Neurospora crassa OR74A: one gene and its partners. The protein of the gene in region 2 purifies or fractionates together with the protein of the main gene of each other region. This does not show direct contact. Links are inferred from orthologs where the notes say so. Each region holds a gene or a part of one and is shown on either strand. Other genes may lie near its edges.

Evidence for each region. Proteins that work in one complex are often made in the same cells at the same time.
Region 1: the proteins of NCU05305 (region 2) and set-2 purify together in Saccharomyces cerevisiae (affinity purification with mass spectrometry; 3 studies listed by BioGRID). This does not show direct contact. The link is inferred for Neurospora crassa OR74A from reciprocal best matches to the Saccharomyces cerevisiae genes RPB5 and SET2.
Region 3: the proteins of NCU05305 (region 2) and NCU03838 purify together in Saccharomyces cerevisiae (affinity purification with mass spectrometry; 3 studies listed by BioGRID). This does not show direct contact. The link is inferred for Neurospora crassa OR74A from reciprocal best matches to the Saccharomyces cerevisiae genes RPB5 and SPT4.

What each region holds. Positions count from the first base shown.
Region 1 is NC_026503.1:3,234,448-3,239,509, forward strand, and holds the start of set-2 (histone-lysine N-methyltransferase), read left to right. Parts: upstream 1-2,025; 5' UTR 2,026-2,751; coding exon 2,752-3,163; intron 3,164-3,276; coding exon 3,277-4,877; intron 4,878-4,942; coding exon 4,943-5,062. UniProt on the Saccharomyces cerevisiae protein: Histone methyltransferase that trimethylates histone H3 'Lys-36' forming H3K36me3. Involved in transcription elongation as well as in transcription repression.
Region 2 is NC_026504.1:5,395,220-5,399,675, forward strand, and holds NCU05305 (DNA-directed RNA polymerase II polypeptide), read right to left. Parts: upstream 2,620-4,456; 5' UTR 2,378-2,619; coding exon 2,285-2,377; intron 2,189-2,284; coding exon 2,106-2,188; intron 1,988-2,105; coding exon 1,459-1,987; 3' UTR 839-1,458; downstream 1-838. Other genes in the region: NCU05306 (hypothetical protein), read left to right, coding at 1-518; NCU05304 (nuclear segregation protein), read left to right, coding at 3,647-3,775, 3,970-4,456. UniProt on the Saccharomyces cerevisiae protein: DNA-dependent RNA polymerases catalyze the transcription of DNA into RNA using the four ribonucleoside triphosphates as substrates.
Region 3 is NC_026505.1:2,571,248-2,575,145, reverse strand, and holds NCU03838 (transcription elongation factor spt-4), read right to left. Parts: upstream 1,931-3,898; 5' UTR 1,588-1,930; coding exon 1,507-1,587; intron 1,430-1,506; coding exon 1,179-1,429; intron 1,089-1,178; coding exon 1,058-1,088; 3' UTR 738-1,057; downstream 1-737. Other genes in the region: NCU03839 (APF1), read left to right, coding at 1-565; NCU03837 (Snf1 kinase complex beta-subunit Gal83), read left to right, coding at 2,586-3,409, 3,487-3,898.

The sequences.
Region 1 (5,062 bases), on a different chromosome or scaffold from region 2:
CTGGCTCTTTTTCTTCCACCCGTCGCTGTGCGAGATTTTCAGCGACACCTTTCTTCACATTCCCTCATCGTGCCCCTCGTCGGTTGTTGAGCCACGATGGCGGCGGCGAGATTGACGGTCCTGTCGTAGTCGAGGGAACACGGAACCTTTTTTTCCCCCCTCTTGGTCGCTCGGTCTTCCGGTTCTTGTTTTGCTCTTAAGTCGCACGAGAAATTCTGTTGAAGCTGAGCTGCGACGTCTTAACAAAACTTTGTTCAATTGGCCCGTTGATCTCTGAGCTTGGTAGTTCGAATCCCCACTGACTAGAGGTCGGAAGGCTTGCTTCGGCGACCATTGGACGCTGTGCTGAAAAGATTCGCCAATGAGGGTGTTTGCGCGGCCATGTTCCATCACACGAGCTGAGAAGCACACGTCAAGCGTTCGTCCTCATAAGAGCCGCATCGTCCGGGTTATGACAAGTGAGAAATGTGATGTCGGTCAGGGTGATTTGAGAGTCGTCGCCGCCGTCGTTTGTTGCCATCGTCGGTCGGAATGTGTGAAGCTTCCATAGGAATTCTGGAAGAAACAGCGACGGCGGTCCACAACATGGAATCCCACGAGCGTCTTTAAATGTCTTGCAATGACCTCGGACGCTTCTCCACAAGCTGCTGCAAGATGAGCTGGCAGGGCACCAAGCAGCAAGGTCCAGCACGTCCAGCACATCACAGCACACACTTTCGCTACACCAAGGAACCATAGCAAAGTGCACGGCAGGGCAAGCGGACGGATTTGGCAACATTTCCAGCAATAGTACCATCAGGCTTTGCCGGGCCATCAGCTATATAGATACCAGCCTCATTCGGTTGCTGCTGGCTGGCTGTCCCATTACGTCGTGTTCGCTTTGCTGTCAATGTTGCGCCCTGTCTGCGCCCGGGTTGCATGTAGTGTTTATGCGTTTCGCCCTGTTCCATGTCTCCTTGTTTATTTATTCCTTTGTCTTTTTGGTCCGAGGCGACGTGCTACGTATGGGAGGTCCTTCCAGAAAGGAGGGAGAGCATGGTTCAACGACGTTGCACACAAAGACAAGCCCGGCGGGTCCCTGACATATGAGATCAGATACAGCATATATCGAAGCCAGAAACCGTCAGAGACACTACATCCGCCGCAGTACCTTTTCCTAAAGGCAATGTATAAAGCTTGAAAAGTAACCAGTGCTTTATCAAGAGCGCCACGCAATTGCAGCAGTTTCGCATTCCGATGGAAGAGGGGGCACGATATGTGGTTGTTGTTCCACAGATGGCGATGGCCGCACAGGTTGGGACGGAAACGCCAGTACAATGCAGACCCTTTGGGCTCATATAGGTTGTCGGACGTCATCGGTGTTGAGACGTGAAATGACATGGAGGGTTGGGTTTAGCATATCCGGAACCTAGATCCTAAGCTTCCCCATCCGGATATCCCCAGACTCCCGCTTTGCTCGAGGCATTCTCTCTCTCCATCACGAGTCCACAGTGGACGAGACACTTGACACCAAGGCCGCCCAATTCCGGACCGTTCGCAATCTTAATTGAATCTGAAGACAAGCCTTCACCCATGTCGAATGGCTGAAAAAATCGCTGCCCAAGGCCGATACTTCCAACGGCAATGTCCATTGATGTGATGAAGTGATGAACTTTTTGCTGGTCGAATGGGAATTCCATGCCATTGCGCCGCCAATTGATGGTGGGGTCAGCATAGCCTTGCCAGCTGCCGAATGCCAATTGGTTTTCAGCTGCCGGGCCGTCGTGGGCTGCCGAGGCTGCCAAAAGCGAAACGCAGAAGTCTGTAGTCTGCGGCAGGCAAGACCAATGAGCACCGGCACAGTGCCGGACAGACCAGCCAAGGTGGACAAGCTCACGGTGGCACGGCCTCAGCTGGATTGCCTGCCACAAGCCGACTCCAGTGGACTGGACTTTTGAATGGCGATCTCTTTGACCATGCGCCGATACCAATTGGCAGTAGCGCCAGACGCCGCGAACGAACAATTCCCATTGCTACGCTCGTCCCCAGACTCTCAGAATTCTGACTGCAACTGGCACAACGCCGAGAAACAGCGACTCCCTCTCTGGTTCGGACCTGCGCGTCGTCTGCCCCAAACAGCTCCCTCTTGCGTCCACCGTCGTCGCCGACCCATCGATTCTCTCTTTGCCCCGGGCCATTATCCAACAGTCAACAACTGAATAATTGCTTCAGCCCATCTGAAGCGTGGCAGTTCGTCGCCTCCAACCCTCTCAGCATCCGAGTCGCCAGCCAGCGGTCCAGTCGCAGTTGAGCATGCTGTCGCAAAGATCAAGGAGCCAAGACAAGAACACCGCAACGGCAACGGAAGAATAACGGCACCAGCGACCGGCATCCTTTTCCTTCCCTTCCTCTCCAACGAAAGCACCACGAAGCACCACACGCTTTGCTTTAGCCGACTACACAGGTACTCGGCCACATCAACTTGCATCATTCTGCCGCTGAGACGAGACGTCACCTTCTTTTCAGCCCGTCGCTCGCTCCACTCTCACCTTCTCATGACCTTTGCGCCTAATCCTACCGACTCCGCCGACCGTCTCCTTTTCCCTAGGTTGCCTCCTCGATCTGCACCTTCTTAGTTTTTTCCTCGACTGCGACCTTCGTACAGCAAACGTGCGCCAAGTGCCCTCGACACACAGACACACAACCGAACCATTACTCACAGTCCCTTATTCGGGTGCGCGCAGGGCGACCCCAGCTGCTGCTGCATCCACCATGGAGGACGGCCATCACTCACCGGATTCGACCAAGGAATCAAAGTCGGAGGAACACTCCAAGATGAACGGCTCCAAGCTAAAACGGGATGGCGCCAGCAACGCCGGCAATGCGGCCACGCCAAACGGCTCCCAGACCGGAATCTCGAGACCCCCAAGCATGTCGCCCGACGAGCACAAGGCTGCGAGTGAGAGCACAGCAACTCCCAGCGAAAATGTCCCGACACAAAAGCCTTCGCGAAAGGCGTCTCAGAAGAACATGAAGAGGGAACCGGTGCTCTTCAACCATCTCCCCGACGTGAGGGAAGAGGCATGCACACATTTCCAGGTCATTCATGACTGTCTCTATGGCTCAAAGAACATGGGTGCATCCGAGCACGATGCGTTGGATTGTGACTGTGCGGAAGAATGGCGTAAGTGAAAATATCTTCGGCGTCCCCTTGCCGCTAGCGTCATGTCCCCTCCGGCCCGCCCGCCCGCCGACACCCCCCCTTAACCGAATACTGACACCTGGCTCATCGTATAGGCGGTGATATGAACCATGCGTGCGGGGAAGATTCAGACTGTATTAATCGGGCCACGAAAATGGAGTGCGTTGACGGCGATTGCAACTGTGGTAGCGGATGCCAGAACCAGCGCTTTCAGCGAAAACAGTACGCCGACGTATCGGTCATCAAGACGGAAAAGAAGGGGTTCGGCCTCCGGGCAAACACGGATTTGCAAGTTAACGACTTCATTTTCGAGTACATTGGCGAGGTCATCAACGAGCCGACATTTCGCAGCCGCATGGTCAAATACGACAAGGAGGGCATCAAGCACTTCTATTTCATGTCACTAACCAAATCCGAGTTTGTTGATGCCACTAAGAAGGGCAACCTCGGCAGGTTCTGCAACCATTCGTGCGATCCTAATTGCTACGTCGACAAGTGGGTGGTTGGTGACAAGCTGCGCATGGGCATTTTTGCGGGGCGCGCAATCAAGGCTGGTGAGGAACTGGTGTTCAACTACAACGTGGACCGCTATGGCGCCGACCCGCAGCCTTGCTACTGCGGTGAACCAAACTGCACCGGTTTCATTGGCGGCAAAACGCAAACAGAGCGTGCAACCAAACTGCCGCCTGCCACCATCGAGGCGCTTGGTATCGAAGATGGAGACAGCTGGGACACGGCGGTGGCGGCCACCGTCAAGAAGCCCCGCAAGAAGAAGGCTACCGAGGACGATGAAGAGTACATCAACCGCTTCGAGCCTCGTGGCCTCGATGAAGAGGGTGTCACCAAGGTCATGGCCACGCTCATGCAGTGCAAGGAGAAATGGATTGCCGTCAAGCTGCTCGGCCGCCTTCAGAATGCCGACGATGACCATGTCCGGAACCGGGTTGTTAAGATGCACGGATACCAGATTTTGAAGACAACCCTCAACACCTTTAAGGAAGACACCAATGTCGTACTGCAGATTCTCGATATCCTGTACCAACTCCCCCGCATCACCAAGAACAAGATTACCGATTCCAACATCGAAGCCGCCGTCGAGCCCCTCACCCATTCCGACCATGAGGATGTCGCGTCGCAGTCCAAACGATTGCTTCAGGAATGGAGCAAATTGGAGACAGCCTATCGCATCCCGCGCAAGAAGCTCGACCCCTCCGCTCCCGTAACCACAAATTCGTTTGAGGATGACCGCCGCAACGTCAATCATGAGGAGCATCCCTCAAGACCTGTCAATCCGTTCGAGAACATGGTTGTGCCCACGGGTCCCCGCAGCAACATTCCCCAACGGAACATGAACTACTTCAACAACCAGAGACCACGCAAGCTTCCAACGAATCTTCCTGCAGGATGGTTTGTCACCACTGACAGCACAGGCAAATACTACTTTTACGACAAGAGCGGCCATACCCAGTGGCAGCGACCTACAACGCCTGCTGTCGACGTGCCCAAGCCCTCTGCCAAGGTGGAACAAAACCAAAAGGCTCTGCAGGATATCATCGACAGTTTGACCAAGGAGCCGACGCCCCGCCATTCTGCGAACCAAACCCCTAAATCTAACACACCCGTGCCAGACAATGGTAAGAAGGAGAAGTGGAGGTCTCTTCCGGTTGAGAAACAGATGAAGATTTACGAAAACACGGTATGTCCAATCCCGGAAGCCAACTGCCCCTCCTATTGCGGTGACGCTAAACAAAGTACTTTCAGCTCTTTCCTCATGTGAAATACGTCATGGACAAGTTTCACCGAAGACTTCCCAAGGAAGACCTCAAGCGGTTTGGCCGTGAGATCAACAAGAAACTGGTTGCTTCCGACTACAAGAACCAC
Region 2 (4,456 bases):
GGATTGAGAAGGCTAAAGACGCCCAAACAGGAGAAGACAAAAAAGTGATGACGCAGTGGCGGATCCGTGGATCAGCCTGGCTTTTGGGGCCGGACGTGGACAGTGAAGGGGCCAAGAAGGTGCGGGAGGTGTTGCGGCAGCGGATGCGCAGACTGGAGGGCAAGACACAGGAGGATGAGGAGCAATGGAGCTGGAGCAGGGAGGTTACGGCGCATTTTGGAAATTTGAATCCGGTCATGAGGGGCACGTTTCGCGGGCCGCCGCCGGGACAGCCGGTGGCGTTCCCCCCTGGAAAAGGGGAGGGGTTGGGCCAGGAGGTGGTGGATTTGCAGGATGAGGTAGCCAGAAAGAATTTCAGGGTGGTGGTGATTGTGCCGACCGAGGTGGATCAGGTGGATTTGTCGGATGCGAAGAGGGCGAGGCGGTGGTTGTATTTGTGGAGGGGAAATAGTTATCATGCGAAGGAGGCGGGCGGGGAGGTGCAGGGGGAGTGGGAGAAGGTTGAGGTTTGGCCTTAGAGGGATTGGGATTGGGATTGGTTCGTGATTTGGACTTGAGTGAGTCTTTTAGGTGTGTATTAACAGAGGAATGAATGAATAATTGAACAGTCAACATGCCATGTAACAAACGGATTACAGTGTTGGAGGATAAGTGTCTTGACTTTATGGTAGAGGCTGCGTATAGTTCTGTATTGGTCAATACAATGTCACCAGTCACTGAGTAACTCTTGAGCAATCGAATCAACAGCTCAATAACTCTGATATCTCATGCCCGATTTCAAAAGGGATTGACGAAACTTTCTTTCAGTCAGCATCCAAACACCTGAATGTTGATGATTCAGCCAGGGGCTACTTCTAGCTCAGATAAGCACTCTAATATAGTAGACTCCGTGGTGAATATACCCATTAGCAAACACAGTACCCAACTGCTCTAATCTCTCTTGTCTCAAAATTTCATAATGATAGCTCGGATATTCTCTTGTCGGTATATATCTCAAGCTACTTAGTACAAAAGCCACTCCGTAACGCCTTTCTTTCTTTGTCCTCTTTTGAATTCGAAAGAACAGAAACTGATTTCCCTGTATCCCCCATGATGCTAGAATAGTTAAGAAAAAGAAAAACGCCCAAGTGTTTTGTATTACACAACCGAACCCCTAACCCCTTCCTCCCTGTCCCGCTGGTGGCTGCCGTGCTTTCACTTCTTTCTTGCTTCGCTGCTGGCCGTCATCGTCCCCTTCCCAAGGCTTCTTATCCAGTCCTCGTCCATATAGTCATCAACTGATTCCCACCAGCCAGACCCGCGTTGGCCCGTCGAAGACCGTCCAGAGAACAAATCAAGCCTGGGGAGAGATTGGATGGATTGGTGTAGTGCCCTCCAGCCAGCCAGCCAGCCAGCCAGCCCAGCTTTGCCAACCGCACGCAACCACCCCCTTCTCTCACGCACACACGCTTGCCCCCCTTATACGCAAAGCCTGTAAGAAGCATAGCGACCCGCCGTCTCCGACACACGAATGATCTTGACGACCTGGCCCCTCTTGAGTCCCAGATACCGCGCAATCGGATCCTTGCTCAGAATTCTCGGCAGCTGCGTCTCCTTGAGTCGGTACCGCTTGAGGAGCGCGGCCTTCTCCTCCTTGGACAGCAACACGTGCTTGGGCACGAGCTCGTGGTGCGTGATGTTGACCAGCAGGTCCTCCTCCAGGAAGCACTCGACCTGTGTGTACTGCGAGGTGACGGACATGACCTTGCGGGCCTGGGCAGAAAGCGGGACGGCGGTGATGAAGATGCCGGCTTTGAACTTGTTGTCGGAGCAGTGGGTGACAAATTTCTTCATGACGGACACGCCGATGGAGCCCTTTTCGGTGCAGAACTCGACCCAGATGGTGCCGCATTCGGGAACGGGGTTGGGGTTGGAGGGCGTGGGAGGGGCGGTGAACTTTTTGATCATGGCTTCCGAGGGGCGGGCGGAGAATTGGAGCTTGGCGCGGCTGTGGTTTGGTGTCGTCATGTTAGTCTGGTGGGGAGGTGATAGTGGTTTGAGGTTTGAAATGCGACGCGTAAAGTGGTGGTGATGGAGGGGTGATGGGTGCCGACGCAGGAACTCACTTTGGTGTTCCATCCTCGTTCGTGTATTCAGCCTTGAACCGCTCGAGCGAGATCTTGACTTCGTCTTCCGCCAACTCGTAGCCCTATAGTCGAGAAGCACATGTACATGTCAGAATAGGTCGAATCATTCTGGGCGATGGCGCGTCGAGCAAGCGCCGTGATAAGGATGGATGGCGTACCCTGTCCTGAACCATCTCGTGAACAGTCCTCCAGGCCCTCCACAGACGGGAGACTTCCTTGGAGGCACTGGTGGGGCTGCTGTCGTCCTCCATTTTGACTGTGTGTGTTGGGCAGTCGATTGAAGTGTAGTGTTTGTCGTCGCGGAGTGGTGGTGATGTGGAGGTTGCGCAGGTGAGGTGGTGGTTCGCGATGGTGGATGGCGTGTTGGTGGATTGATAGCTTGGAGGACTTTCCTGTTTACGAGGCTGAAGGACAAAGGCTCTCAAAAAATTGCGGGAAGGGTGGGTGTCGCCGAAAACCAGAGGCGTGGCCGCATTGATCAGACCTAACGCCCGGGCACTCCAGGATTCCACGCCGGCCGATAAGAGATGGATGGGTCCACAGTGAGCCGGAGGCTGCCTTCACCCCTGTGAGACACTACAAGTAAGCGCGCAGATGGTCTGTGCTGTTGACCGTTGACCGGCTTCTGATTCAGGCAGGCAGTTTGTTGAAGTCGTGAAAGACCTAGGAGGAACAGTGATGGCGTGCGCTGGTTTTATGCATGACTGGAAAAGCGGACATACACTTCAAGTTGCGTTTCCGGTACATACATGATAGTACACAAAATTAATTCTCCTCGGCCAACTACCTATATAAACCTCTTCCATGATCCATATATGTTCCATGAGGGACATTGCTGGGCAAAGTGAAGTGAACTTAGTGAAGAGCCAATTCAACCTATCATCATCATCCTCCAACCAACCAACCAACCAACCAACCAACCAACCAGCGCACCATATGTACTTGGTAGGGTAGGTAGTAGCGCACAGGCCAAGACGGTGACACGCGTGACACGGTGTCGGGGAAAGGCCACGATCTGCAGATCTGGAACACGCCTGAAGCGGGACAAATTTTGGAATTTTTTGGAACTGGCGACGGGACTGTGAATTGAGGGTTCAAAGTGACCAAAGTTAGGTTAGTTCCCGTTCAATTGTCAATTTGGATGCGGGCAAAACAGATCAGGCATTGACAGCACCCGCACTACCTAGCCATTGTTCTCCCCAGGGCAGTCTGGACCCCATCTTCCACTACACATCCACATAACCACATCTCAAAGCAGCGATTACCCCAGAGGTACATCCTATCCTACAGGACCCGAACAGCGGTCCTCGGACGTGCACTGCCTTCCACTTCCCATCCTTCCTCAGGTCGCCCGCGGCTGTTCTACACTAAGTAGCTCTCCAACCAACCTACCCACCGGCTCCGACCCACGCCCCCCGGTTGCCTAGTCCCCCTTCCCCGTCTTTATCTTACTATTCCCTTCCTTTCGTCTCTTCTTCCTTCTTCTTTTTTTCCTTCAGCAACCCCCAACACCACACACAATGGCCGAGTCGCAATCCCCCGCTGCCGCCCCTGCGGCCACCACCAAGCCTCACAAGCCTGATCAGGATGCCTTCAACGAGAACCTCGCCAAGGCCGAGAAGGAGTATCAGGAGGCCCTGAAGAAATACGTGAGTCCCCTGCCCTGGCCGCTACCAAGAGCGCATCTACCCGATACCGTGGAGTCAGAGCACCCGCCCTCGCACTCACGATGCACCCTGCCGTCCACGCCACCCTCACCACCACCACGTCTTTTGCTACTAGAAGCTGCTGCCTCCAATTGCCATGTGACAAGGCCAGACTAACCAATTGTCCTTGAATCCAGAACGAGATCAAGGCCAAGGTTGAGCTCGCCGCTCCTAGCAAGAACAAGGACCAGCCCAGCCCCACCCAGAAGAAGCGCCAGGAGCTCATCTCCCAGCTCAACGAGATCCGTCAGCAGCAGGCCGGTGGCAAGAATGCCCGCACCTCCAAGCTCGACCAGATCAAGCGCCTCGATGAGCAGCTCCGCAGCCGCATTGCCGAGCAAAAGACTGCCCGCAGCAAGGTCAACTTCAAGTCCACCGAGGAACTCGACCGCGAGATTGAGCGCCTGGAGAAGGAGGTCAACGGCGGCATGATGAAGCTCGTCGACGAGAAGAAGGCCCTCGCCGAGATCTCCAACCTCCGCAAGCAGCGCAAGAGCTTTGCTGGCTTCGACGATGCCCAGAAGCAGATCGACGACCTCAAGGCCAAGATCAAGGAGATCAAGGACAGCTTGGAGGACCCCGAGGCCAAGGCCCTCAGCGAAAAGTACAACAAGCTCCAGGCCG
Region 3 (3,898 bases), on a different chromosome or scaffold from region 2:
GGAGGGGGAGAAGATTAAGTTGAGTTTTGGAAAATCGGCCACAACAAAGAAAGAGGAGCCCGGGTCGGGGTCGGGTGAGGGTGAGAAGGGTTCGACATCGGCGGCGGCAATGCCAACACCGGGTGCTGGGGACGGATCGGTTCCTCCTGCTGCGGAGGAGAAGAAGGATACCGTGACGCCACCTTCGACAATAACGAAGACGACGACGGACGGTGTAAGCTCTGAGCAAGCAAAGGTGGAAGCAAGTTCAAAGGGCGAAGAGGCCACTGCCAAGACGACGGCAGAGGAAAGCAAACCCGCGGTTGACTCGACTGCTGGTCCTGCTGGTCCTGCTGCTGCCGCTGCTCCCGCCACGAAGCCGGTATCTATGAAGTTCGGCATGAAGCCCCAACCGAAGAACGTCTTCAAGAATGCGTTTGCTGGGGCTCCCAAGAAGGTTATGGCTGCTCCGCCCAAGAAGATGAGCGAGGCCGAGAGGATAATGAAGGAGGAGTTGGAGCGCAAGAGGGCTCGCGAGGAGAAGGGTGGGAACTTTCCCAACAAGAAGCCACGCTTCCAGTTTTAACATACTGTGGAGTCTCACGTGGGTAACTGGTCAAAGGTTATGCTATCTCCGGGTTTGGCAATATTTCGGTACATGTTATAGGGGCGTTTTCGGCGTGATGGGAAATGTTTAAAAAAAAGATACCATATTGCATTGGGGTTTTCGTAAAAGGGATCCGTAGCTGGATGAATAATCTTCCATATAGGTTAGGTAGTGATAAACTCATTTGTATGATTGTTGTATTTCGCTGCAGTGTGTAATTATAGCCCTGGGTTGATCATGCAAAACCCAAAAAATGGCCACTATCCTGCTGTCTAGACCACGCCCTTTAAACCAGCCTTAACGCCTTGAACTCCTGTTGCCTTCCCTTTAACAGGCATTCCGCATTCCGCTCCTGGGTTGTCTGTGAACGATCTATTATCGGTCCCTCTTCCTTCTTGCTTGTCGGTTCTCTTTCCTGCTTTCTTATCCGCCCTATTCCGTCTTGTTTTCTTGCACCGCAGCTTCGAGTTTCTAGTCCGCTTCCGTCGCACTGCCATCGCGCCTGCTCCAAGTTAGTTTCTGGCTGTGCCCCGAAAACCCCACGATCATAGCCTGCTTCGCCAGACCACACGAGTGTAAGCAGGAAACTTACGGGATATACTGAATGCCGTCATCCTCCAACGTGGTGCGCACGTCATCCGGCAACTGGCCCGACACCTTGGTCGCGTATACACCCTTCACATAACCGTCCAGCCTCTGCCACTTCGCCACCCACGACTTCTGCGGGTTGGCAATGGTGATGATTCCTTCAAAGACTTGCGACGTGCAGCTGTCGATCTGATCCGGCGAGCCCTGGAGATGGAGGAAGTCTTCGCAGTTGGGGCATCCTTCGTCACGGAAGCGCTATGACAAAAACAAAAAAGGTCAGAAACTTGTCGGTCATAGAGTGACTAGAAACGAGGAAGGGCAGCTCGACTTACAGCATAGGTCATGACGATAGAGCAGACCATGCAGGCACGAAGGTAGCGCTGCTGGCCGGGGGCAACGTAGTTCTCCGACATTTTTGGGAGATGTGTAGGGATGGCGATGTTACTGGTAACTTTGGGGGCGGAAACCGATAACTCACTCGTCTACGAATAGCTGAGCGAGTGAATGAATAACTGGAAAAGGACACTTGACGAAGGAGGGTGATGTTCTTTAGAGGAATGCATGTGAACATCGATAAGTTGTTCTCTGGAAAGAAGATCGGCCGCCTCTCTTGCCTGCCGCGTCGCGCCAGCGCAAGCTCCAGGTCTCACAGCGGGCCAGGAGTTGACATGCAAGGGGCGCACGGTCCAGGAGCTAGAGAAGCAGGAGAGAATGTGGGAAAGGTGGGGGCCGAAGTGGAAGCTGGGGCCGATGCCTGGAGGTGGACAGTGGAGACACTGCCGTGCAGTTGGGCTGGGCGCCGTCTCACACTCATCCACAGTTCAACTCTGTTCGCCGAGTCCGGGGCGTTGCATCCGAGTTCCATTCAGTTGCCAGTGGTCGCCCGCTTCTTATCGAGCAACCAGGTGGATGGCAGCTGTGCTTTTTGGCCCAAGGGAGGACAGTCAACTGCTGCAGTGATACTCTGATAACTGAACTGAGCTCTCTACCTACCCGTCATTCTCTCGACTTCCACTTCTTCCACTTGTTTCGCGCATCCTCGATTCGACACGACTCGAATCATCACATCTTCCAGTTTGCTGCGATATTGCCTGCTCCAACTCTATTACGACACGACACCTGACAACGTCGTTCGAATTCCCAAAAACCACACAACCACAGCCACGACCAGCGCTGGCGTAGCATGCAAAGCCCCTCGACTGTCAAACCACCTTCTATCCGAACTCGGCCAATTACCCCGGAGAGTGGAAGATGAATTGATTGCACCCGGTGGACGCATTGTTGAACAGGTGTAGCAGTAACAGCAGCAGACCGCGGTAGCAGCGAACCACCTGTGACGACCCCGTTCGACCGACCCGACCACCACGGCGACCCCATCCCGTCATCAGCGCCAGCGATCGAGCTAGGGAAAATGGGGAACAACCCCTCCACCTCCAGAGACTCCAAGACCCCGAATCCGCAATCCTCCTCCTCCTCCTCTCAATCGCAGTCTCAGCACCAGTCGCTGGCTTCCATCCAAAATGACTCTGCCAGAGCAGTGAAGCGCGATACCAAGCACCCTATACCGGTCCCAAATCAGCGAGTCGCTGCCCCTCCTGAGCCCTCCTTGACCCAGGCCCAGGGCACCGCCGTCCAGCCGCCCTCAACCACCGCTCGTCCCAAGTCGCTGCACTCGCGAATGCCACCTTCTCAGAGCGGCTCGCCGGGCTCGTCGGTGCCTACCAGCTCTGCCACCCCCACCAAACCTGTCGAAGTAAGACAGCTGAGACCCGAAGACAGTCATGAGCCCGCGAAACCTGTAGCCGTGCCCACACCCTGCCACGCCTCGTCGTGCTCACCTAGGTCGCCGGTGCGATCACCGCTATCAGAGAGATCGGATGCCTTTGAGACTGCGGCTATGCAGCTGAGCAGTCTGCAAGATGTCTCGTACCTGACCAGGCCGCCGCGACTACCTCTGCCGATCGAGGAAGAGGTCCACACACCCGGATCGCCTATCATTGCCCCGACCGACATTGGGGTCCCACTCGAGGATGCCGACACTTTCACCGCGCTCACCAGACGCTCTTCCAACTTGAGTAACAGCTCAACTCTGGACGAAGAAGACACGGAGGAGCTACGGGTGGACAAGACTAGACCGACTGTCCCCACCAGGCTCGAATGGCTCCGTGGCGGCGAGAAGGTTTACGTGACAGGCACCATCTTCCAATGGAACAGGAAGACACGATTACACCCGGTGTAAGTACTTTCTACATCCCGGCCACTTTCGCTCTCAATACGGATGGGGCCTTGCTGACACCGCTACTCGCCAACAGTGAGGGCCGACCGGGTGTATTCGCTGCTATTATCAATATCCTGCCGGGCACACATCACGTTCGCTTTCTGGTTGACGGGCAAATGCAGACCTCGCCAGACTTGCCGACCACGGTAGACTTTGGCAACAACCTGGTCAACTACATCGAGGTCAGCCCTGATGATGTGGGGCGCACCGCTGCCCAGGCAGCTGCTGCAAGCGCCGCCAAGGATTCCCAGCAACCTACGGAGCCCAAAACCTCCGCGTCCGAGACGGAGGAAAGCAAGGCACCTAGGGACCGACCTGTCCCTCCGGCGGAGCTGTTCGAGAACAAGATCCCGCAATATCTACTCGACTTCGACGCACCCGAGGAAAGTCCACCTTACCTGAGTGCTGTCAACGCCATCGAGAAACTCCCAACGCCGCCTGCGCTT